Mytilus edulis: one gene and its partner. The protein of the gene in region 1 binds, or shares a complex with, the protein of each later gene. Links are inferred from orthologs where the notes say so. Each region holds a gene or a part of one and is shown in the gene's direction. Other genes may lie near its edges.

Region 1 (10,771 bases):
GCATAATAATATCGAGAAAAAAAGTAATTTAAAATTGAGAATGGAAATGGGGTAAGTGTCTAAGAGACAACAACCCGACCAAAGAGCAGAAACTAGCCGAAGTCTACCAATGCATAAATTCGAAAATATATTTCGAATATTGTGTAGAATGAATTTGCAAATATAGGACAACTTATAATCAATTTTTCAAATGTTGTGTTATCTCGTTGTTCCTCTTGTTGTTGGTTTGTAGATTTTGTTCTAAATTCTTACATGATATATTTTTTTTAAATTATTTTTTGTGTTATATATGTTTGGTGTTTTTTTGCTTTGTATCAGTCTGATGAGTTAAGCCTTTTTCAATAGATTTTTATATTTTGTTTTTATGTTGTGCTGTTACACCACTGTCCCAGGGAGGGTTAAGCGTTTCTTTATGTACTTGTCCAAAGTCAGGAGCCTGAAGTTCAGTGGTTGTGGTTGGTTCATGTTCGTGTTCCTCATTTTAGTAAAACGGCATCAATGAAGATCTTAGCTCGGTACCTAGTAATTTAATTGGATAAAGATGAATAAAATATGCTATCTTATATAATGTTAATGTTCTTCAATCCTTTATTATCTAATTGAAATAACCTACCTTACAAACTTCCTTGAAGCCTCTGCAAATTTTGAATCATCACTTTTTGTACTCATAGAAAATGTTCCACCAATGCTAAGAATCTTTTTGAATATTGATTTTGCCTCTATCTCAACATTCTTTTCCGAGCCTTTTCGAAAGTAACTTGTATCGGTAGCCAGGAAAAGTCGAAGTATACCTCCAAATCGCCCTTGTTTAAAGTAATGTGTTCCAAAAGTTTCAATGAATCTCATGTACTTCGTAATAGTAGTATCATTCAAATGGTGTGGCAAGAATTTTTCAATATAAATTTTAGCAAATTGACCGAATTCAAGTCCCCATTCCGGCATCATGTTCACTTTAAACCCAGCTGTATGGGAAGTCAAATCTTCAACATACTTTGATCCACTGCTGAAATAGCTTTGTACTTTCTTGTATGTCAAGCTTGAAGAAAATAATCCTCCAAAAACTTTTATACCAACTTTTACTGCCAGGGAATTTTTAAAGCTATGACTGTTCTTATGTATTTCAACACGGGTATCAAGTAATCCACTTGGAATATTTACAATACTCCAAACTTGATCTGGTATGCTGTAGACAATCTGAAAACATTTGTATGACATTCAATTGTAAGAAAAGTTTCTATCGTATAAAAATAAAAGAACTTTGATTGAAAAAATGTAATAATCAATTGAATAGTTATCAAAGGTACCAGGATTATAATTTAGTACACCAGACGCGCGTTTCGTCTACATAAGACTCGTCAGTGACGCTCATATCAAAATATTTATAAAGCCAAACAAGTATAAAGTTGAAGAGCATTGAGGATCCAAAATTCCAAAAAGTTGTGCCAAGTACGGCTAAGGTAATCTATGCCTGGGATAAGAAAATCCTTAATTTAAAAAAAAAAATCAAAGTTTTGTAAACAAGAAATTTATAAAACTGACCACGTTATTGATATTCATGTCAACACCGAAGTGTTGACTACTGGGCTGGTGATGAAATTGTAATATTAAATCTAAGTTTTCTTTAGACATTTTAATGAAATAAATTGCTTAAAAAGTGTGTTAAAAAGCGTGTTTCTGGAAAACTTGTACAAACATTCTTATTTGGGTCAGTTTACAGAGGTAAATTTAAGGGTCCAGTGTTCCCATTCACCCCACCCACCCGTTGTTGTGGGGAAAATTTGGTTGATTATATAGGGAATCATTAAGGCCTGGCTGCAACCCATAATGAAAATTTCTGGATCCGCCACTGGTCAGAAATCTCATATTTGTTTGGAATTGTAAAAAAAAATCACCTCATGATTTCACCTTTCAAAATTTTTTATAATTTGTTTTAGTTATATGCATGAAACATTTTCTGAATGGCGCAAAATCGTATTTTAGTTTAACATGTTGGTTTTTTTTCATTATATGTGAATAAAAAAACTCATCATAGATACCAGGACTAAATTTTGCATATACGCCAGACCGCGTTTCGTCTACAAAAGACTCCTCAGTGACGCTCGAATCCAAAAAAGTTAAAAAGGCCAAATAAAGTACGAAGTTGAAGATCATTAAGGACCAAAATTCCTAAAAGTTTTGCCAAATCCAGCTAAGGTAATCTATGCCTGAGGTAGAAAAGCCTTAGTATTTCAAAAATTCTAAATTTTGTAAACAGTTAATTTATAAATATAACCATATCAATGATAATTCATGTCAGCACAAAAGTGCTAACTACTGGGCTGGTGATACCCTATTGCTTTGCATTGACTGCGTATATGTTTAATATTCGGTGTGCTTTAGATGGGCTACTTTGCATATTTTTACATGTGATTTTGACCTTTATAAAATACGTGTTTAGAATAGTTTAAATGTAATGTGCAAAATTAAAACTATCCAGGTTGACTGATATCGATTACCAGGAATAGTTTGTAGAGTTTATATCGCACTCCATCCGGTCAGATATATACAAGTCTAAATTGAAAATAACGTTCAAACCTATTATTGCGTTGGATAATATAACCGCAATTTTTATACATGTGGATGGAAAACGAATTTATTGGTAGAGTGGTCTAAATACAGAACAAACAACATTTTTCTAAACGTTTGACCTGATGCTGATATGTAACTTTCATAATCTGAATTTGTGATAGGCAAACACATTCGCAAGTATATCATTCAGATACATTTTTGTAATACATCACGGGGTCATTATGCATGTACACGAATATTAAAATGTTATGATATTGTAATCTGCAGTTGGATGACACATATACGTGTTACACATTTAGTAAGAATTCATGGCTAGATACTTATGTAAATCCTATGACTACTTACCCCATCCAAGTTTCTTGTGATATTGAAGTCACAGGTATAATCAATCACAGGATTTCTGAATCCGTCGTTACTGGCCAGACTTAATGGTAGTAGGTCAAGTTTTGTTATATCAACGCCATCTCGTAAACGGTTGAGAAATGGTGGAATGTTTGCGCATGGTTTTGCTGTAAAGATAACAGGAAAAAGAAGACAAAGGAAAAATATTTCTAGTTGAAGAAATTTCAGCATTGCTTGCTTCGATTTCTTGCCTTGCTACGCGTTCATACAGTCACTCAAGCTGTTACTTTGTCAGAGAAATTTAAAACTAGATTTGGTGTTTTGTTGTTATCGTGCTTGCACGCTAAATTTTAAAAAGCAACTAAACTAAAAAGCTATACTGTTTTATAAACTAATAAACTATATATTTGTATTGATTGAATTGAAAAGCAACCACAGATAAAACCAAAATAATAATATGTTGAAAGACTTGATAATGCCAACAAAAACATATATATAAACCGCTAAAGTTATTATTTTGTCTCTCCACTCTCTAGTTTTGAACTGTTTTGAATCTATGTAATGTTTTGTTTTAATTGTTGATTTGCTTTTGTTGTATTGTACATTTTCTCTATCGTTTGTTATTCCATCGAGGAAGATAAAAAAAAAAAGCTGGAAGGTTTGAATATTCTGTAAAAATTCTCACAAAATGACTATTTCATTATTCAAATTTTCTGTATAGTGGCATAATCATAGTACGTAAATTTCTTTATCCTCCGTTTCTCAGTTTTATCAGTACTGTATTTCTACAGCTGTATTCTTTATACTTTTGCACCCATCATTCTCTGTTCTAATCTTTTTTATCATTCATCTCAGTATTCTTTCTTTTTTTTAGCCAGTCACATTTTCTATTCTTTAAATTAAAGATTGACCCTCATCACAGCTTCATGGGACTATATATATACCAACCTTATTTAACAGTTAATGTAAAAATATGTTGTTTTTTTTATGTTTCTCAATTTATGTCTCATCTTATATATTTGTATGTAATGGGATAAAAGTTGCATATATACATAATAATAATGAACATGAGCTCTTAAGAGCTCTTTAAACCTACTGTCGCTTTAAAGGTGTCATGCTTGTCACCCTCAGCATAGGCAATGTGTAACTGAAATTTGAATTTCAAAATGACTGAGTGACTTTTTATCGACGCACTGGTTAACTCCTTTGACATAACCAATAATATAAAAAAGTAAATACGAGCGAAAAACATCTTTCGAAGTAAAGAATTGTCGCATAAAAACTAAATACACGGGAAATGACAAAGTTCACGAAGTCTAGTCTGGTTAACCATTTTACAAAAAAATTCCAAGCAAAGGGGGAACGTACGCCCTCTACGCCCCCCTCTGGATCCGCCACTGCTCAGTTCCCGAACATTCAGTTTGATTTATAAACATCTTAATTCTCTTGTGTAAATGTATAGCCATAAAATCTTCGTATATTAGCCTACTTCCATTGTTAGAGCTCTATTCAATTATCGAACATTCAGTCTGATTCTCGTCTGGCATTTGATCAACTTGAAAGCATAAAAAATATTTACTGAAGGTGGACTTGGGGTCCTACTAAAATGCGCCCGGGGAAGAAAAAATAGCGCCCGGGAAAAAGAAAAGGCGCCCGGGGAAAAGAAAAAGCGCCCGGGGAAAATATATAGATATTTTATTGGCATGAGACAACTTTGTGTTGATGAAATAAGTTATGCACATTATTTTTTTTAAATTTTAGACAAGTAATTTTCAAATTCAGATAATAGACATTTGTAATAAAACAAGTATGAATGTTTCAATTTTAACAATAATATAATTTATGAATACTATTTTGAAAGACTGATTATAATGGATCACAGTTTATGCGGAAGATTTATAAAATGTAAGACATCAAAAGGCATGTTTTTCAAAAACGATATGAAAATAAAAAATTTCACAGATTAATATTAATTTAATCAAAATTAAAAGAGTTACACATAATACATCAGCAAATAAAGCAGTACTATACATGTACCGTAGTTAAAACAAGGGGGTAAAAAGCAGGAGTTTGGTTTAAATTTAAAAATAAGCAGTACTTGAAAACCCTGATAAGCATAGCCATTGAAACAGTTTTAGTTTCATAAAAAAGATATAATAAATGTATATCAGCATCTGCATAAAAAAGTGTTCACCATGCAGTTGCGAAAATATTAGACTTCAGGCACCATATATCCACATTTATATTAAGGACAAAACAAGCAATGATTATTTTTTTTTAAGGAAAAAATTTATTGTTATAAAATATTATTATTTTATTCTCCCCGAGCGCTAATTTTCCTTCCCCGGGTGCCCTTTCCTTTCCCCGGGCGCTTTTTCTTTTCCCGGGCGCTCTCGGGCGCTTCCGGGCGCTTTTTAGTAGGACCGGTGGACTTGAGACATACTATATTAAATTTAGTACAATTGTTCCAGGATTTTTATAAGTTCTTCTTGTTTCCGAATCCCTATATTTCTATTGTATAATTGTATTTTGTGCACTTTTGAAAATAAAATATTGTTTAACTGACTAACATTTATGAGACTTCTATAACATATGTGTTATACATATAGTAGTCTCAGCATATAAAATCTTTGCTCGAGATTTCTTTTTAGAGAATAGAGATTATGAAGACTACCAAGGCATACCGAATGACCGGAAAAAGTAATCCTCGGAATTCCCGCCGTTTTTCTGCAAGCCAAGCAAAGAAGGAAATGTTGCGTAGTTTACATTGATACAATCATTAATATAGGTAATATTCATGTAAATAAAAGCGATATTATGTCCCTGCTGTAAGAGAGAAGGGACGAAGTATAGCTGTTTCGTGAATTGATACTATAACCCCCCTTAATTATTATGTACCAGTAACAAGGGTACACGGCTGTGAGTGTTACTGAATGTTTTGTCATCAGGTCATACATATGTATCTCAAATAATTCAGAAAAAATCTCAAATGACTAAAGAATTTGATAGGGATACGACGTGTTTTCAAGCATTGTAGTAAAAATATACAAAACAAACCAGACTACACACAGTCCGTGATTACTCTGAAACTGTGGCAAAGGGACCCCAATGGTCCGTTCGCGGCTGATACACTTTCGTACCCTACACGTTCACACCTCACATGTTTGCCCCGTAAATCCATTCCGACCCTATAAATTTATGTCCAATTTTAATTCGAATTTCAGTTGAAATATTAGATATATTTTAAGTGTGTTATCTGATTGTATCAGGTTTACATGCACCTGTATTTTCACACATAGCCATTTAATACAGTTAAAGATCATCAGAGATTATATTGATTAAGAGTTATGTTTAGATTTCTTTGTTTGACTAGTGAACCCTAATGATTTGCATATGGTGCCCTAGTAAATTTATGTAAGGAGCAGGAACACTATAGCTAGGAGTAAGGATTACCGGAACACGGAATACACAGAGCCCGATTGCCCTAGTAGTCTATATTTGTATATGGGCTTGTAGGAGTGATAAAAAAGAGAGAAAGAGTGTCAGATAAGGGGGAGAGAGAATTTATAGAAAGGAGAGGACAGTAACGTTTATGTAGTAGAGGGGAGAATCGTATTGTTGAGCCTGATGTTAGATGTACTTTTTGTTATACTTGTAACTTTATATATTTGTGTGATTTTATTAATACAGTATTGAACTTTTATTCCACTTCGTGTTTATGTTCACTTACAAGACTTTGTTCAAACTGCACCAGGATCCATTTATTTATTTATGTGACCAGGATTAATTCACTTAATCATGCTACCAATAGGTTTCAAGGGTTACCCTGTTAATGAGTATACAGTGTGGCATTTGTTGTCCGTTTACAAGTGAAAGGCACGACCTGAAACTTGTACACCAAACAACACAGCACAAACACACGGATACACACTTTAGTTCAAGTCCCATACTAAACTTTTTCGTCACAGTATATACCAAATAATTCTATTTTCTTGAATAAAATTTGAGGAATTATTTTATAGATTTTTGTTTCGTTGATTAATTATTAAATGTTAATTACGTATGATTACTGCTAATTGGTATTCATATACAGCCTAATCCGGTGTTATTGTTGAGTGTTTAAAATCATGATTGATGTTTTATTAGCTTGGTAGGAGTATAACACTTTGAAGATTTTAAATAAAAAACATTCATAATCGGCTCCTTTGATCTCGTGTGTTTAGATATATAGAGATGTTACAGTGAATTTATATTTTTCAGGGAATATGTAGAATCACTAAAATCATTAGTAACTATATATAATCCCTGAAAATGACCAGTAATTTTACATAATCACGGAACATTTCAATAATTATTCTACAAATTCCCTAATATAATTTCAGGGATTATGAATAATTTAAGGATCCTTTGTTTCATAAAAAAACAAAAAATAAATATATAATAGACAAATTATCATTTTTTACTTTCATATTCCTTGCCAAATGAAATAATTTTGCTTTTAAATACAGAGGATAATCTTACATGTCTTAAAGATACAATGTATAACCAACACAGGGTTTCGAGATAAAAGTTGAAGACTACAAAATTAATAATAATATCAAGATTCCCTTTATAGCATTTACTTTACTTGTATTGTTTGTTTATTAAAAGCCAGTGTCAAATGGATATTCATGTTCTATTTGTTAATCCACAGAGCATGTTATTTGTGGTATATGTAAAACAAATGGTGAAGAAGATTATGGAACATCTGTTATTTTTTTTTTTTTTTTTCAAATGAACAAGAAATTCAAACAGAGAACTTACAGATCGAAATGTATAGAAAAACTAAGGATTGACAATTGTAATAATATTTTAGAGGAAGCTGGCATTTTGTGTAATATTCTCATTGAAATTCCACAAAGTAAAAAAGGAAAGGGAATCCAAAAAACATATTAGTAATTGTTCACCAAAAGTCTGAAAAAGGATATCGCCTGTCCCAAAAAACATGGTATCTTGCTCGAACCAGTTCCAGGTTGCTTTTTTTCTTTTTTGGGGTGTACCTACAGCAGATGTTTTTACTGAACACTTTATTTCTCTTAGGCGGGTCATAAAATCTGATTCGATATGTGAAGAAAAATATTTTCTAAAATGTGGATATTGTGGTAAAAACAGATGTGAAGCATATTATTTTAATATATTGTGTTTAACATTTTAATATAAAGTGCCTAACATTTAAAAAAAATAGGGTTATCATTTTGATATTTTGTGCTTAACATTTTACAATTGATGTTTTACAGTGTTATGCTGTTTAAATATGATTTTATAGCTTAAATTATTATCCTCCGCTTTAAAAAAGGGGGGTTATACTGTTTTACCTCTGTCTGTCAGTCTGTCCGTCCATCAGTCCGTCCGTCAGTCAGTCCGTCCCACAAAACTTTCGTCACATTTTTCTCAGGAACTACACATCCACCCTTTCTGTAATTTGGTATCAACATTTATATATGTCAGCCATACCGTGTGATGCGTTTTCAGATTCATCACTTGACAACTTCCTGTTTACCGAACACTTGTATGATTTTACACATGATAGCCAAATTGAAAATTTTCGTCACATTTTTCTCAGGAACTACAATACAAGGATTTCTGAAATTTGGTTTCAGGATTTATATAAGTCAGCTTTACCATGTGATGCGTTTTCAGATTCATCACTCGACAACTTCCTGTTTACCGAACACTTGTATGATTTTACACATGATAGCCAAGTTGAAAATTTTCGTCACATTTTTCTCAGGAACTACAATACAAGGATTTCTGAAATTTGGTTTCAGGATTTATATAAGTCAGCTTTACTATGTGATGCGTTTTCAGATTCATCACTCGACAACTTCCTGTTTACTGAACACTTGCATATTTTTAAGTCCGTCCATCAGTCCGTCCTTCAGTCAGTCCGTCCCACAAAACTTTCGTCACATTTTTCTCAGGAACGACACATCCACCCCTTCTGTAATGTGGTATCAACATTTATATATGTCAGCCATACCGTTTGATGCGTTTTCAGATTCATCACTTGACAACTTCCTGTTTACCGAACACTTGTATGATTTTACACATGATAGCCAAATTGAAAATTTTCGTCACATTTTTCTCAGGAACTACAATACAAGGATTTCTGAAATTTGGTTTCAGGATTTATATAAGTCAGCTTTACCGTGTGATGCGTTATCAGATTCATCACTCGACAACTTCCTGTTTACTGAACACTTGTATGATTTTACACATGATAGCCAAGTTGAAAATTTTCGTCACATTTTTCTCAGGAACTACAATACAAGGATTTCTGAAATTTGGTTTCAGGATTTATATAAGTCAGCTTTACTGTGTGATGCGTTTTCAGATTCATCACTCAACAACTTCCTGTTTACCGAACACTTGCATATTTTTACACTATTAATATTATCCACTTGCGGCGGGGGTATCATCAGTGAGCAGTAGCTCGCAGTTTCACTTGTTTGACTTTTCTTCATTTCAGTTATTTTGTATAATCCCTGACGTTTTTTCTAGTGATTATACATAATTCCTGAACTTTTTAGTGATTATGTATAATCCCTAAACTGGCCAGTGATTCTACAAATTCACTGTAACAGATATATAGAGCAAAACACTTACCTAAACATGATTAAGATTTATTCAACACTCGAGATTCAACACATTGAAAAAAACGTTGTCAGAATCTCACTATATTTAGAAACAATGAACAAATTATATATTTATAGCAAAACACTTACCATGCTAATTACCATTTATTCAACACCAAAATAATGTTGTCATATTCACACTTCATTTACTAGAAACAATAAAAAAAATATTTATTATAATACACTAATCAAAATATGGTAAAGAATTATTCAACACAAAAATAAATACTGGTTGTCAGAATTTTACTTTATTTAAAAACAATGAAAAAATATATATTTATAGCAATACACCTACCAAAGTTGACGTTTACAAATTATTAAACACAAGGCAAATAAAAATTGGGCGGGAATGGTAGGGTGCGAAAGTAAAAAAGGGTGAAAGTGAATGGGTGCGAATGGACCCAGATTGGCCAAGGGATGTTAGAGGGTTTTGTTACAATTTGCCAAGTTTATTTCCACACGAACCATTAAAAAAAATCACTTGAATGACTTGATTTTCTCTAGTTTCTCAAATTGTAACAAACCACTGTTTTTCACCTACCTGCCACCCTTAATTTTCTTATTTATATGTGGACAGTTCTCACAGTGACCCATCAATTCCTGCATTTTAATTTTTATTTTCAAATGGACATCTGCCTTGCTCTATTTTCTCTTAGAAGATAAGATGTGACACCAATGCGAAACAAACTCAAGGTTTAGCAACATTGACAACCACATGCTTAAGTATGTCGAACTGGACCTCAATGAAAGCACCCATAAAAGCAATCTCCCATACAGAGTTGTCTGTCCTTGCTCTCTCAATGAGAGAGAGCAAGGACCGACAACTCTGCATGGGAGATTGCCATAAAAGTTATCATCTGACACACTCTACTGTTTTAATGAATCAGGAAGTAGATCACTAAGTTAAAAAATAAATTTGAGCAGAAAGCTTATTTATAGTGACTCATTACCACATCAATTTACAAAAGTGTTTTATACAAACATTCATCACATATATATATATATATATGTTTTTTGAAACTTGAAAGTCTGTTGGTGCAGCTAATAACCAATTCAGAAGTCTGATCTAATTCTGATAGACCTTGGATCTTGGCTTATTTGATCCTGTGGGGTTCATGTGTTTTCATTAATTTATCTGTTCTATCATTTTTGAGAGTTTCATTGTTTACCTTGCAAACAATTAGTTT
Region 2 (11,182 bases), about 66 Mb from region 1:
TTAATCTGATATAGCCGTGGGTCCTTATGTGCCCATTAATTATGAATAAACTTATTTAATTCTATTCTATAATCTATTCTATAATGGAGAAAAAGAAAGAAAAAGTCAGATAGACGAATTCGAATCCGTGCAGTAGAATTCCTAGGTCACAATGCTTATGTGAGCTAGTTTATGCCTCATTTACCTCAAGATAATCGTTGGGACTCATTGACAAGCTTTTTCAAAAGTCTTAAGGTACTGTCGCAATTTGTGCTGTGTACATAATATTTTTTTGTTAGTATCTTTTAATTATTTTAACGCACCAAAGACATTTTAAACCCTTATTCAATTTTATTTTTGAATTATATTTTATCATATTGTAACAAGAATCACATTCGAGGTCCATACCTTTGACTGTGGTACATGCAATTTTTTGTATGCCGTCAATGTTTTGTTCCATATAAGAGATCCATCTGTCCAGAAAAAACTGATAGCTCCCACTACACCATCTACTTCGTTGTTTTAAAGCTGTTAAAGGCAAACAAATGGAACATCACATTTATGTTAAATTGTACCGTTGTCCCTAGGCGTAGGTTGTATCTCTGCGCATCAAACTCCTTAAATGCTAAATTATATAGGTCCCTCATTTAGGTTGATATATTATCTCCTAACACACAGAAGATACAGCAAACAAATATTATATGCATTGCATATACATGCTGTATAGTTTCCATGCTGTGTTCGAGCACTTGCACTGTAAAACATAAAATTTTGAAATGCCGTATTCGAACACAGTTTGAAGAAAATAATTGATCGAACATTTATTTACAATATGGCTTTTGTATTTGCGTACCCGAAAGATTAAATAGTGGTTTTTTTTTTTAAATAGATGCATTTGCAACGCATGTGATATTTTCAAAGGTAAACATCCCTTTGTGTTTTAAAGTAACACTTTCATATAGATAATGTAGAAATATGGATTTACTGTCGAATTATAACCAATTAAATCGGTTTAGAGTTGGTTAAGCAAAGATCATATGAACGAGTGTGTCATGATATGTATTTAAATATGAACAACATGGCTATCATCACTAAATGCGTTCTTCGAGCAATATGTCACTTAAAAGTCGCTTCAGAAGTACTCACACGTTTTAAAAAAATATACCTGCAACTATTTCACGAGCTATATGGTTGCACAAAGTCCAGAAATATTCGTGCAAAATTACAGATTTGGACAAATTTCCCGGTCTTGTCCATAAATAATAAATATAAAAAAGAAGTGGTATGATTGCCTATGAGACAACTCTCCAGAAGGGACCAAATGACATAGAAATTAACATCTCTAGGTCACCGTACGGCCTTCAACAATGAGCTGGCCCATACCACATAGTCGACAGCTATAACAGACCCCCCCCCTCGAAATGACAAATACTGTGATTAAACAATTTACAAACGAGAAAAACTAACGGACTAATTTATATAAAAAAAAAATCATAGTGAACAAAAGAACAAAAAACATTAACGGTTATTTTTTTTCTTATATGAAGAAATAGTTGACACTTGACGTTATGTCTCTTGTTTGTGTGTCTTTAATGATGCTCGAAATCTAAAATCTATTAAAAAACCTGATAAACAGTTTATGCTTTGAAGGGTTTTTAAAGTACCAGAAATGTTGAAAAAATCAATTCTGCGGAAAGCCAGCCGTGCAATATTCGGATTAATATAAAACGCATCATCCGAGTTTATTAGTACAAAATAATTAAAACAGTAAACGAATAATTTTACTGTACTTAAATTATTTGTATGTTCGCTTTAAATCCGCATGAAATATTTGCAACTGGACGATGAGCATTTCAGTCAAAAGTTAATTCATAAGTTACGGATTAAATTTGCAATTATGATTATCAATTATCGGACAGGTTTGGGGTTACGAAATCGGACACGTTTGGGCAATAATGAATATTACGGACAAGTTTATGGAGAATAGACACGTTTGGGGGTATCGGACACGTTTGGGGGATAGACACGCTTGGGAGTGTCACAACTTGACTTTCAATGATGGGTAAACAGGCACCAAATATCTAGATAAATGGGGAATGTGCCCATTAGACACAGATGATGACCCTGCTTGGATATAGGATTATCAAGATACATATTAACTCAAGAATCGGATAAAAGTGAAACTACCTAAATGCATGCTTAATCTGTCTTTTATGGTAATACGCATTGCGTTGTAGTTTCATAATGTTTGCTTGAGAACAAAAACAAAAAATTCCGCATATATATAAAAAAAAAAAAAAAAAAAAAAAAAAAAAAATCCATTTGTAAAGGGCCATAACTCTATAACAATTTAAGTGAGACCACCAAAATTCAAACATGATACCATTTGAATGAGACAAACTAAAGTTAGAGAAAGTAAACGAAAAAATTTTTATACGACGCAAAAATAAATTGTGGTCGTATATTGGTATCACGTTGTCGACGTCCGAAGACAGTTTGTTTCCGGACATTAACTTCAGTAAATAGAAATCCATGAAATGTATACGCAAGGTTTATAACCGCTAAGGAAGGTTGGGAGTGATTATGGGGGTTATGGTCTCAACAGTTTAGGAATAAGGGGTCAAAAAGGGGCCCAAATAAGCATTAAGTCAGGAGCCTGTAATTCAGTAGTTGTCGTTTGTTATAAATGTGTCACATATTTGTTTTTCGATCATTTTTTGTACAAAAATTAGGCCATTAGTTTTCTCGTTTAAATTGTTTTTGAATGGGTAATTATGGTTGCAAACTCCATTAGAAATATGAATTGAGACTGAGACTACTATAACACATTATAGTAGTCTCAGATTGAGATTATAACCATATCTTCAGGGAAAGAATTTATTTTGGAAAAAGTAAAATAGGGGGAAAAAAGGGGGTGATGGAGTGCTTACTCGATTCTCTCGTAGCGAAATCGGCTAGATAACGGAAAATTTCGAAAATTAAACCTAGATGGGCAAACGAATATTTCTTTTCTATATATTGTTGTTAAGTATTTCAAAAAATGCTCATCTGGTAAGTGGAGTGCTCCTAATATAAACGGAGGTGCATTGTACATACTAGAACAGAACAACAACAACAATAATTTTTATTTTGTCAATCAAGACGCCCCGAGGAGCAGTACAATTATACTAGTAGTTTAAATTAAAGTGTACAAATGTGGTGATTTTTTTCATTGAAGTTACAATACATGACAATAAAACAAAAACTATATTATATAAGAGAAGGGAGACAACAAACACAGTATATATTCTCAAAGATAATGAGTGAGTGAACACAATCAGTACTAAAATACAAAATAGGAAAATTCCACGTAGAATCCTTCAGAAAATGCACTGTTTTAGAGTTACCTCCCCTTAAAATGCCAATTTAAAAAAAACTAAAAACAACCAAAAATAGTGTACATTTACAAAAATATTGATATTTATAAGTTATATTCTTATAAATTAGTTCTTATAAACGAAAATTCACATTAAATATCTTTATTCCTGCATCAAATTTTGCTAACTTGATGGAAAATCTAGACCTTTGGTTCTCTGTTTTTTACGATCCAAGATGGAGGAAGACACCCATACCACCTTAACAAATATTCTGGGGTTAAATTCAGATATTTAAATAATGAATAAATGCTTCCTAACCAATTGTCTTTATATGTTTTAGATAAAATTTTGGACTCTTCAAATGCTTCTTTAATGAGAGAGTTCTTTTGTTCTGCAAGTCTGAGCCAAAATTTAGTCATATTAAGAATAACCTCAAGAGATAGGGGGTAGCGCCCCAACTCTCCCATCACTGCTAGGTTTGTTGATCTTCTAGGTACCTGTAGAGAATATTTACAAAATTTAACATGTAATTTTTCGATAACTAGATCTTTGCACATTTGGAAAAAATATTTGTCTTCTTTAGATTGTAACTTATTTGGAGAGAATTGGCCCCAAATTTCTGAGCCATATAACAAAATTGGCTTCAGTATGTGGTCAAAAAGATGTCAGGGCCGTAACTAGCTTCTTTTAAAATAGTTATCAAAGGTACCAGGATTATAATTTAGTACGCCAGACAAAATATATTCGCCGAGCGAAGCGAGGCGAAGGGTCTGGAGGCCGCTCAAGGCCCTCAGAAGCTCTGAAAAAAATGACGCAAAATCGTGCATTCTGACCGTTTCCCGGACTCTTTCTTACTCTGAAACGCAATTAAATTTTTAGCTATTTTTTCGACAATATTCTGGTCTCAAAGCAAAATATATAGATTCATTGTAAATAAAAACTTTTAGGTTTAAGGGACAACATCAAAAGACCGATATGTAGGATAAAGCAAAAATCGTAATTCTCATAATCATTTTGATACCAGATCTGTCTGTTCTTGTCTTGTATTGTGTTTAGACTTTGGAAGAAAAAAAATATGACTGAATTTAGATATAGTGACAGTGCAGTATTATACTTTAAGTACCGCTTAAGTCGACATTAGGGACCATCTTGACTTTGTTTTATGGTATTAATGATTCTTTCATTGCTGAAGACCCTCAGGTTAGCGACTATCAAGATGAAGAACAGGGATAAAAACCCTGATCATAGATAATTTGTATTTTTTTCTATGTATTGACTCTGTGTGCGATTAAGTCCCGTGCACGTTTACTCCATATTCCTTTATTTTGTATTAAAGGGTCTGATCACGACTTAATTGCAAGCGCTTCAATGTAAAAGGTCATATATGGCAATACATTGTTGGTTTTTTTTCAAATGATTTGATACCGCGAGATTGGTGGTCTCACTTTAATTTAACCCATGTCAGCTATCTAGTTTTATCTACAAAAAAGAGAGCCAGTTTTGTATTCTTTAATATTAAATTCAATTCTTCATGAAGAAACGACCAATTTTTCTGTGTCCAGTAGCATCGTATCTTCTTAAAATATTTTCTCGCACAATGTCTGGACATCGGTGGACATGCAACATTGCCAAAAACCATACAACCGTTCACCCGTCATCGTAGATCTAATTTCAAATATTCTTACAATTGAATGTAGTTTTTTCAATTAGACAAAAGGTCCTTCAGTATAAGAAAACTCAAGTTTTAAACAAAATTACTAGATTTACAAAAGAAAATCATCACTTAGACTATAGTCATAAAGTAGGACAATAAATGAACAAAAGACAAACCCGGGTACAGATAAGACACATAACTACAAACAAAAGACCATCAACACTGAAAACTAAAAGTAAATTAGAAACATAGATCACGAAAAACATGCAGGGGCGACATCAGATAGTGAAGAGAACATGCAGGGGCGACATCAGAGAGTGAAGAGAACTTGCTTCTTGCAAGACACTCACCGTGAAAACAATTTGATATGAAGACAAGCTTTTGTTTCAATTTTTTTTTTCAAATTTCCAACATGAGGCATTTGCCTCATTTGCCTCCATGTAGTTACGGCCCTGGATGTAAAAGTGTTTTAATATTAGGTTTAAAATGGGTGAAAAATCTTTTTTATTTAAAAAAGGCTTTTAATGCTTTACTAAAATTGAGAAAGGAAATGGTGAATATGTCAAAGCGACAACCACCCGACCATAGAGCAAACAACAGCCGAAGGCAACCAATGGGTCTTCAATGCAGCGAGAATTCCCGCACCCGTAGGTGTCCCTCAGCCGGCCCCTAAAATATGCATAATAGTACAGTGACAATGGACGCCATACTAAACTCCGAGTTATACACAAGAAACCAAAATTTAAAATCATACAAGACTAACAAAGGCCAGAGGCTCCTGACTTGGGACAGGCGCAAAATTGCGGCGGGATTAAACATGTTTGTGAGATCTCAACCCTCCCCCTATACCTCTAACCAATGTAGTAAAGTAAACGCATAACAATACGCACATTAAAATTCAGTTCAAGAGAAATCCGAGTCTGATGTCAGAAGATGTAACCAAAGAAAATAAACAAAATGACAATAATACATAAATAACAACAGACTACTAGCAGTTAACTGACATGCCAGCTCCAGACTTCAATTAAACTGACTGAAAGATTATGATTTCATCATATGAACATCAGGCACAATCCTTCCCGTTAGGGGTTTAGTATCATACCATAAGTTATAAAGATTAAACTTAAGTTAATTAATTAATTATTAGCATCTGTGTAAATCTGCCAGATACAGTGAATATCATGCCAAGATAATTATATTTTTTCTCATTATTAATAAGCTGACCATTAAATGTGAATTTTTTTTTGATATTCTTCCTGTGTTATTAAAAATTAATACTTTTGTTTTTTTCATGTTAATTTCTAGTCCCCATTTATTACAATAATCCATTAATTATCTAAACAATTTTGTAATCCAGATGAAGTTTCAGAAATCATAATGAGGTCATCTGCATACATTAAACAGTTAAGGCTACTGTTGTTTAGTAAAACTGGACAATAGCTAGAATCAAATATTTCAGGTAAATCATTTATGAAAAGTTTAAACAATGTAGGGCTCATATTAGGAACTTGTGGGATAGTTACTTCCCTTTCTGTTACTCTTTGGTAAAAAATTGCGGGAAATGTAACTCAGCAAAAAAAAATGTGGTAAACATCGCGGTCACTGGTCTATACCATCCTCAACAACAGCAACTTTACAATACAGCAAGTGCATTGCAGTGGTAAACGACGAATCCCTTTATTAAATTTTTAATGTTAAAAGTACAACGTTCATCATAACAAATGAGCAAATATTTAACAGGTTGGGAACAAACCCTCTATACAGTATATGAGGGGGGATAGGACCTTTATCGGGACTCCGGGATCGGGTGTTTTTAAGCTCGGGATTTCGGGATTGACCCTTTCGGGATCCGGGAATACTTTTTTTCTGATTTCGGGACGTCGGGATTTACTTTATTTAAATTCGGGACCTCGGGATTTCGTGTTTTTAAGCCCGGGATTTCGGGATCAGGACCCCTCCTATCCCCCCTCGTATATGGTGTTTATACCTTTTTTATAAGGATAGAGCCTAGAGGGATAATCCTTTTATAGTCAGAGCACAGGAGTTTGAAATCCTATCAATAAGGGGGTAAAAATATACCAAAGTCGACTATCACAGTAGAGCTTCTTCCCCCTTATTGATAGGATTTCAAACTCCTGTGGATAAATCTAACAATAGAAATTCTGTTCAGTGAGACATAACTGAGTAGAATTTACCTGATCATCACAGCTTTCAATCATGGTGAACAATAGATTGTATATTCAGTCAGTTCAGCAGTAAACTGGGCATATGCATATTAAACTAAGCACATCAATTGGTGCATCAAATGTTGCAGGTTACTGCCATAATAAGTATAGAATGCCAATATGCCTTAATTTGCTAAAAATCCAGTCTAAACAAAAAGATCTGTCCATAGAGGGGTCATTTTATCCCTCTATAAAGGTATAATCACTAGGTAAACGGACAGAAAGTCACAGGACAAAAAGTCACAGGACATAAAGTCATTCATCACAGATGCATTATTTTAAAGTCTGATTTTTTTTTTGCAGCACGCAAGTTGGTCACTTTGGTGAGTCAATCACCATCAAGATCCATCAACCACTTTCCGTGTTTTTGAATAACATCACATTATCCAAATTGCACCCATTTTCGCCCAAAAAAACAATGGAGATGATATAGGTTTAATCGTTTGTCGATCTTTGTCAACATGCAGGTTTTTTTAAACAAAGATTTATACACTTACATGTATATATTGCTCTTGCTGTTGCTAATTTAATATGGGGTATATAATTAGTGACATTGTAAATATGGTAACTGGACGTCTGTCAAAATTTGAGGTAATTCGATATATATATGACCTCAATTAATAGTCACGTCACATTAAAAACGTATTTAAGCAAACATCACTATAGCAACAACCTCACATTAACTTTACTTTGCATTCACATTTAGAAGTGAAGTATTTAACCTGGGTTCGCCCCTCATTAACTCCACCTTGAATGAGGGGTAATTTTATTCTGGGTTCGCCCCAGATTAAGGCGTTCACACTACCTAAATTTAACCCGCATTAATTAATTGGGTCGACCCTGGTTTAAAAGGGCATAGTGTGAACAGGGTATAATTCATCAAACTTTTATTTACCTCCAAGTCAATGGGTATGATTTGTTTCTGCTACCTTACCTCTTCATAAACTGCTGGCTCTTTTAAAGAAATTTAGTCTTTCTGCAGAAGAAATCAATTTTTTAGCTCACCTGGCCCAAAGGGCCAAGTGAGCTTTTCTCATCACTTTGCGTCCGGCGTCCGGCGTCCGGCGTCCGTCGTCCGTCGTCCGTCGTCGTCCGGCGTTAGCTTTTACAAAAATCTTCTCCTCTGAAACTACTGGGCCAAATCAAACCAAACTTGGCCACAATCATCATTGGGGTATCTAGTTTAAAAAATGTGTGGCGTGACCCGGTCAACCAACCAAGATGGCCGCCACGGCTAAAAATAGAACATAGGGGTAAAATGCAGTTTTTGGCTTATAACTCAAAAACCAAAGCATTTAGAGCAAATCTGACATGGGGTAAAAATGTTTATCAGGTCAAGATCTATCTGCCCTGAAATTTTCAGATGAATCGGTCAATCGGTTGTTGGGTTGCTGCCCCTGAATTGGTAATTTTGAGGAAATTTTGCTGTTTTTGGTTATTATCTTGAATATTATTATAGATAGAGATAAACTGTAAACAGCAATAATGTTCAGCAAAGTAAGATCTACAAATAAGTCAACATGACCAAAATGGTCAGTTGACCCGTTTAGGAGTTATTGCCCTTTATAGTCAATTTTTAACCATTTTTCGTTAATTAAAGTAATCTTTTACAAAAATCTTCTCCTCTGAAACTACTGGGCCAAATTAATCCAAACTTGGCCACAATCATCTTTGGGGTATCTAGTTTAAAAAATGTGTGGCATGACCTGGTCAACCAACCAAGATGGCCGCCATGGCTAAAAATAGAACAAAGGGGTAAAATGCAGTTTTTGGCTTATAACTCAAAAACCAAAGCATTTTGAGGAAATCTGACATGGGATAAAAATGTTTATCAGGTCAAGATCTATCTGCCCTGAAATTTTCAGATGAATTGGTCAATTGGTTGTTGGGTTGCTGCCCCTGAGTTGGTAATTTTGAGGAAATTTTGCTGTTTTTGGTTATTATCTTGAATATTATTATAGATAGAGATAAATTGTAAACAGCAATAATGTTCAGCAAAGTAAGATCTACAAATAAGTCAACATGACCAAAATGGTCAGTTGACCCCTTTAGGAGTTATTGCCCTTTATAGTCAATCTTTAACCATTTTTCATAAATCTAAGTAATCTTTTACAAAATCTCCACTGAAACTACTAGGCCACAATCATCTTTGGGGTATCTAGTTTGAAAAATGTGTCCGATGACCTGGCCATTCAACCAAGATGGCCGCCACGGCTAAAAATAGAACATAGGGGTAAAATGCAGTTTTTGGCTTATAACTATGAAACCAAAGCATCTAGAGCAAATCAGACAAGAAGTTAAATTGTTAATCAAGTCAATATCTATCTGCCCTGAATTTTTCAGATGAATTGGACAACTGGTTGTTGGGTTGCTGCCCTCCAATTGGTAATTTTTGGAAAATGACGCAGTCATTGTTCCATAACTGCCGACCTGAACTTCATTACATTGCTCTGCCTACCGCGCTTGGTTTCGTATTTCCTATTTTCCAAACAAACTGGAATCTGCTTGTGTTATCATTATGCATCATTGTGTAGTATTAAACCAGCCAGGACCCAGTTTACACTGGTTTTTGCTTGTATTCCACTACACTCGAACAAAGTGTTGTAGTTTGACGGGAACCAGTTTTAGAATTTGTAAACTACAAAACGTAATCGGTTATTGTTCATTCCGTTTTGGTGTTTCATACCGACTTATATGGTTTGAATAAGCTTAAGACCATTCAAACATTAATGTGATAGGTATATTAAAGATTGTTTTACAAAAGGATTGAACTGTTTTACTTTCAAAGTCGTACTATAGGGATATCTGTCATATACGGATTTCCACTCTCACCGGTTAATTTCTTCTTTTACACGTGCTTTGGAAACTTCCTGTTTAATCGCAAGTTTTAAAATTGTTTTTGAGTGAATTAAACTTATTTTAACAATCATGAAGCGTTCCAGAATCATTTTAAAGCAGTTTCTTCTTCTCTTTGATGATGGAAAATAGGTTTTCTCAAGAAAATACCGCAAACGATCGCAGAGGAATTGAAACGTACAAGTCAAGTCGGCACCTGGTTAAATTGGCATCTAGTCAAATCGGCACCTATTCGACGTCAATTCGGCATCCAATAATATTTGATATAATATTTTCTATTCAATTAATTAATTACTGTTACCAAGTACATAGTGAATATGTTGTTGTGTATTTTGGTAAACCACGAAACGAAAGTGAATATGTAGTGTATAAAGGTAAACAACGAAGCCCTTACCAAAGCTGTTGTTTTAACAATTAGACAATTTGTGTAATTGTAAAAACAAGTCAATTATTAAAATAAAATGGAAAACTATGAGTCCCTTTCAATAAATCAAACTTTCATGCCAAATAATTAGCAAATTTAAGGTGTTTGTTTTTCAGTAAAGTTTAAACAGCATTAAACCAACAATCCTGTAAAATGCTCAACTGGTTAAAATAATGCAGAAAAATACACAATATCTCATGTATTAGTCCAAATAATTATGACGTCTGGCAAGGCTATTTTATTATTTTTCTGGGACGCCTTCCTACGACGTTCAGGTGCCAATTTAACTAGGTGCCAGTTTGACTAGAATTCTTTGACAAATGTTTGAAACTATCTGAGTTTCATTAGACCTTTGATAGCAGTAACAAAAAGATTGTTTACTTAATATTTTGTGGGAGAAGGGGGTTCAGACTGTGTGGCATCAGGTCTGTTTGTGCCCAATACATTTTCGCACCCTACACGTACGCACATTCACACTCTACTCATTCACGCCCAATTTTAATTCAAATTCAAGTTGAATAATTGGAAAATTATGGTTGTTGTTTTAAATTGCTTTGGTGTAAATACTGAATGTATTTATAGCTTGGTATGAGTAAAACATTGAAGATTTTAAAGGAAAAAACACAAAAGATAATTGTTTTTAACAGCTTGGTCCCATTGATCTGAAACAACGAAACAATAAAACATA

The links.
Region 2: the proteins of DNA repair protein REV1-like (region 1) and DNA polymerase kappa-like are in contact, whole or in part, in an NMR structure (PDB 2LSI), measured with the Homo sapiens proteins. The link is inferred for Mytilus edulis from reciprocal best matches to the Homo sapiens genes REV1 and POLK. Residues at the interface, in NP_057400.1 of Homo sapiens: Asn1158, Leu1159, Ala1160, Gly1161, Ala1162, Asp1167, Leu1171, Leu1172, Glu1174, Trp1175, Thr1178, Ile1179, Met1183, Glu1185, Asp1186, Gln1189, Val1190; in NP_001374042.1 of Homo sapiens: Lys564, Lys565, Ser566, Phe567, Phe568, Asp569, Lys571, Arg572, Arg575.

The regions. Positions count from the first base shown.
Region 1 is NC_092347.1:84,715,114-84,725,884, forward strand, and holds the start of DNA repair protein REV1-like, read left to right. Parts: upstream 1-5,569; 5' UTR 5,570-5,698; intron 5,699-10,771. Other genes in the region: perivitellin-2 67 kDa subunit-like, read right to left, coding at 614-1,194, 2,914-3,141. UniProt on the Homo sapiens protein: Deoxycytidyl transferase involved in DNA repair. Transfers a dCMP residue from dCTP to the 3'-end of a DNA primer in a template-dependent reaction.
Region 2 is NC_092347.1:19,014,022-19,025,203, forward strand, and holds the start of DNA polymerase kappa-like, read left to right. Parts: upstream 1-6,510; 5' UTR 6,511-6,649; intron 6,650-11,182. UniProt on the Homo sapiens protein: DNA polymerase specifically involved in DNA repair. Plays an important role in translesion synthesis, where the normal high-fidelity DNA polymerases cannot proceed and DNA synthesis stalls.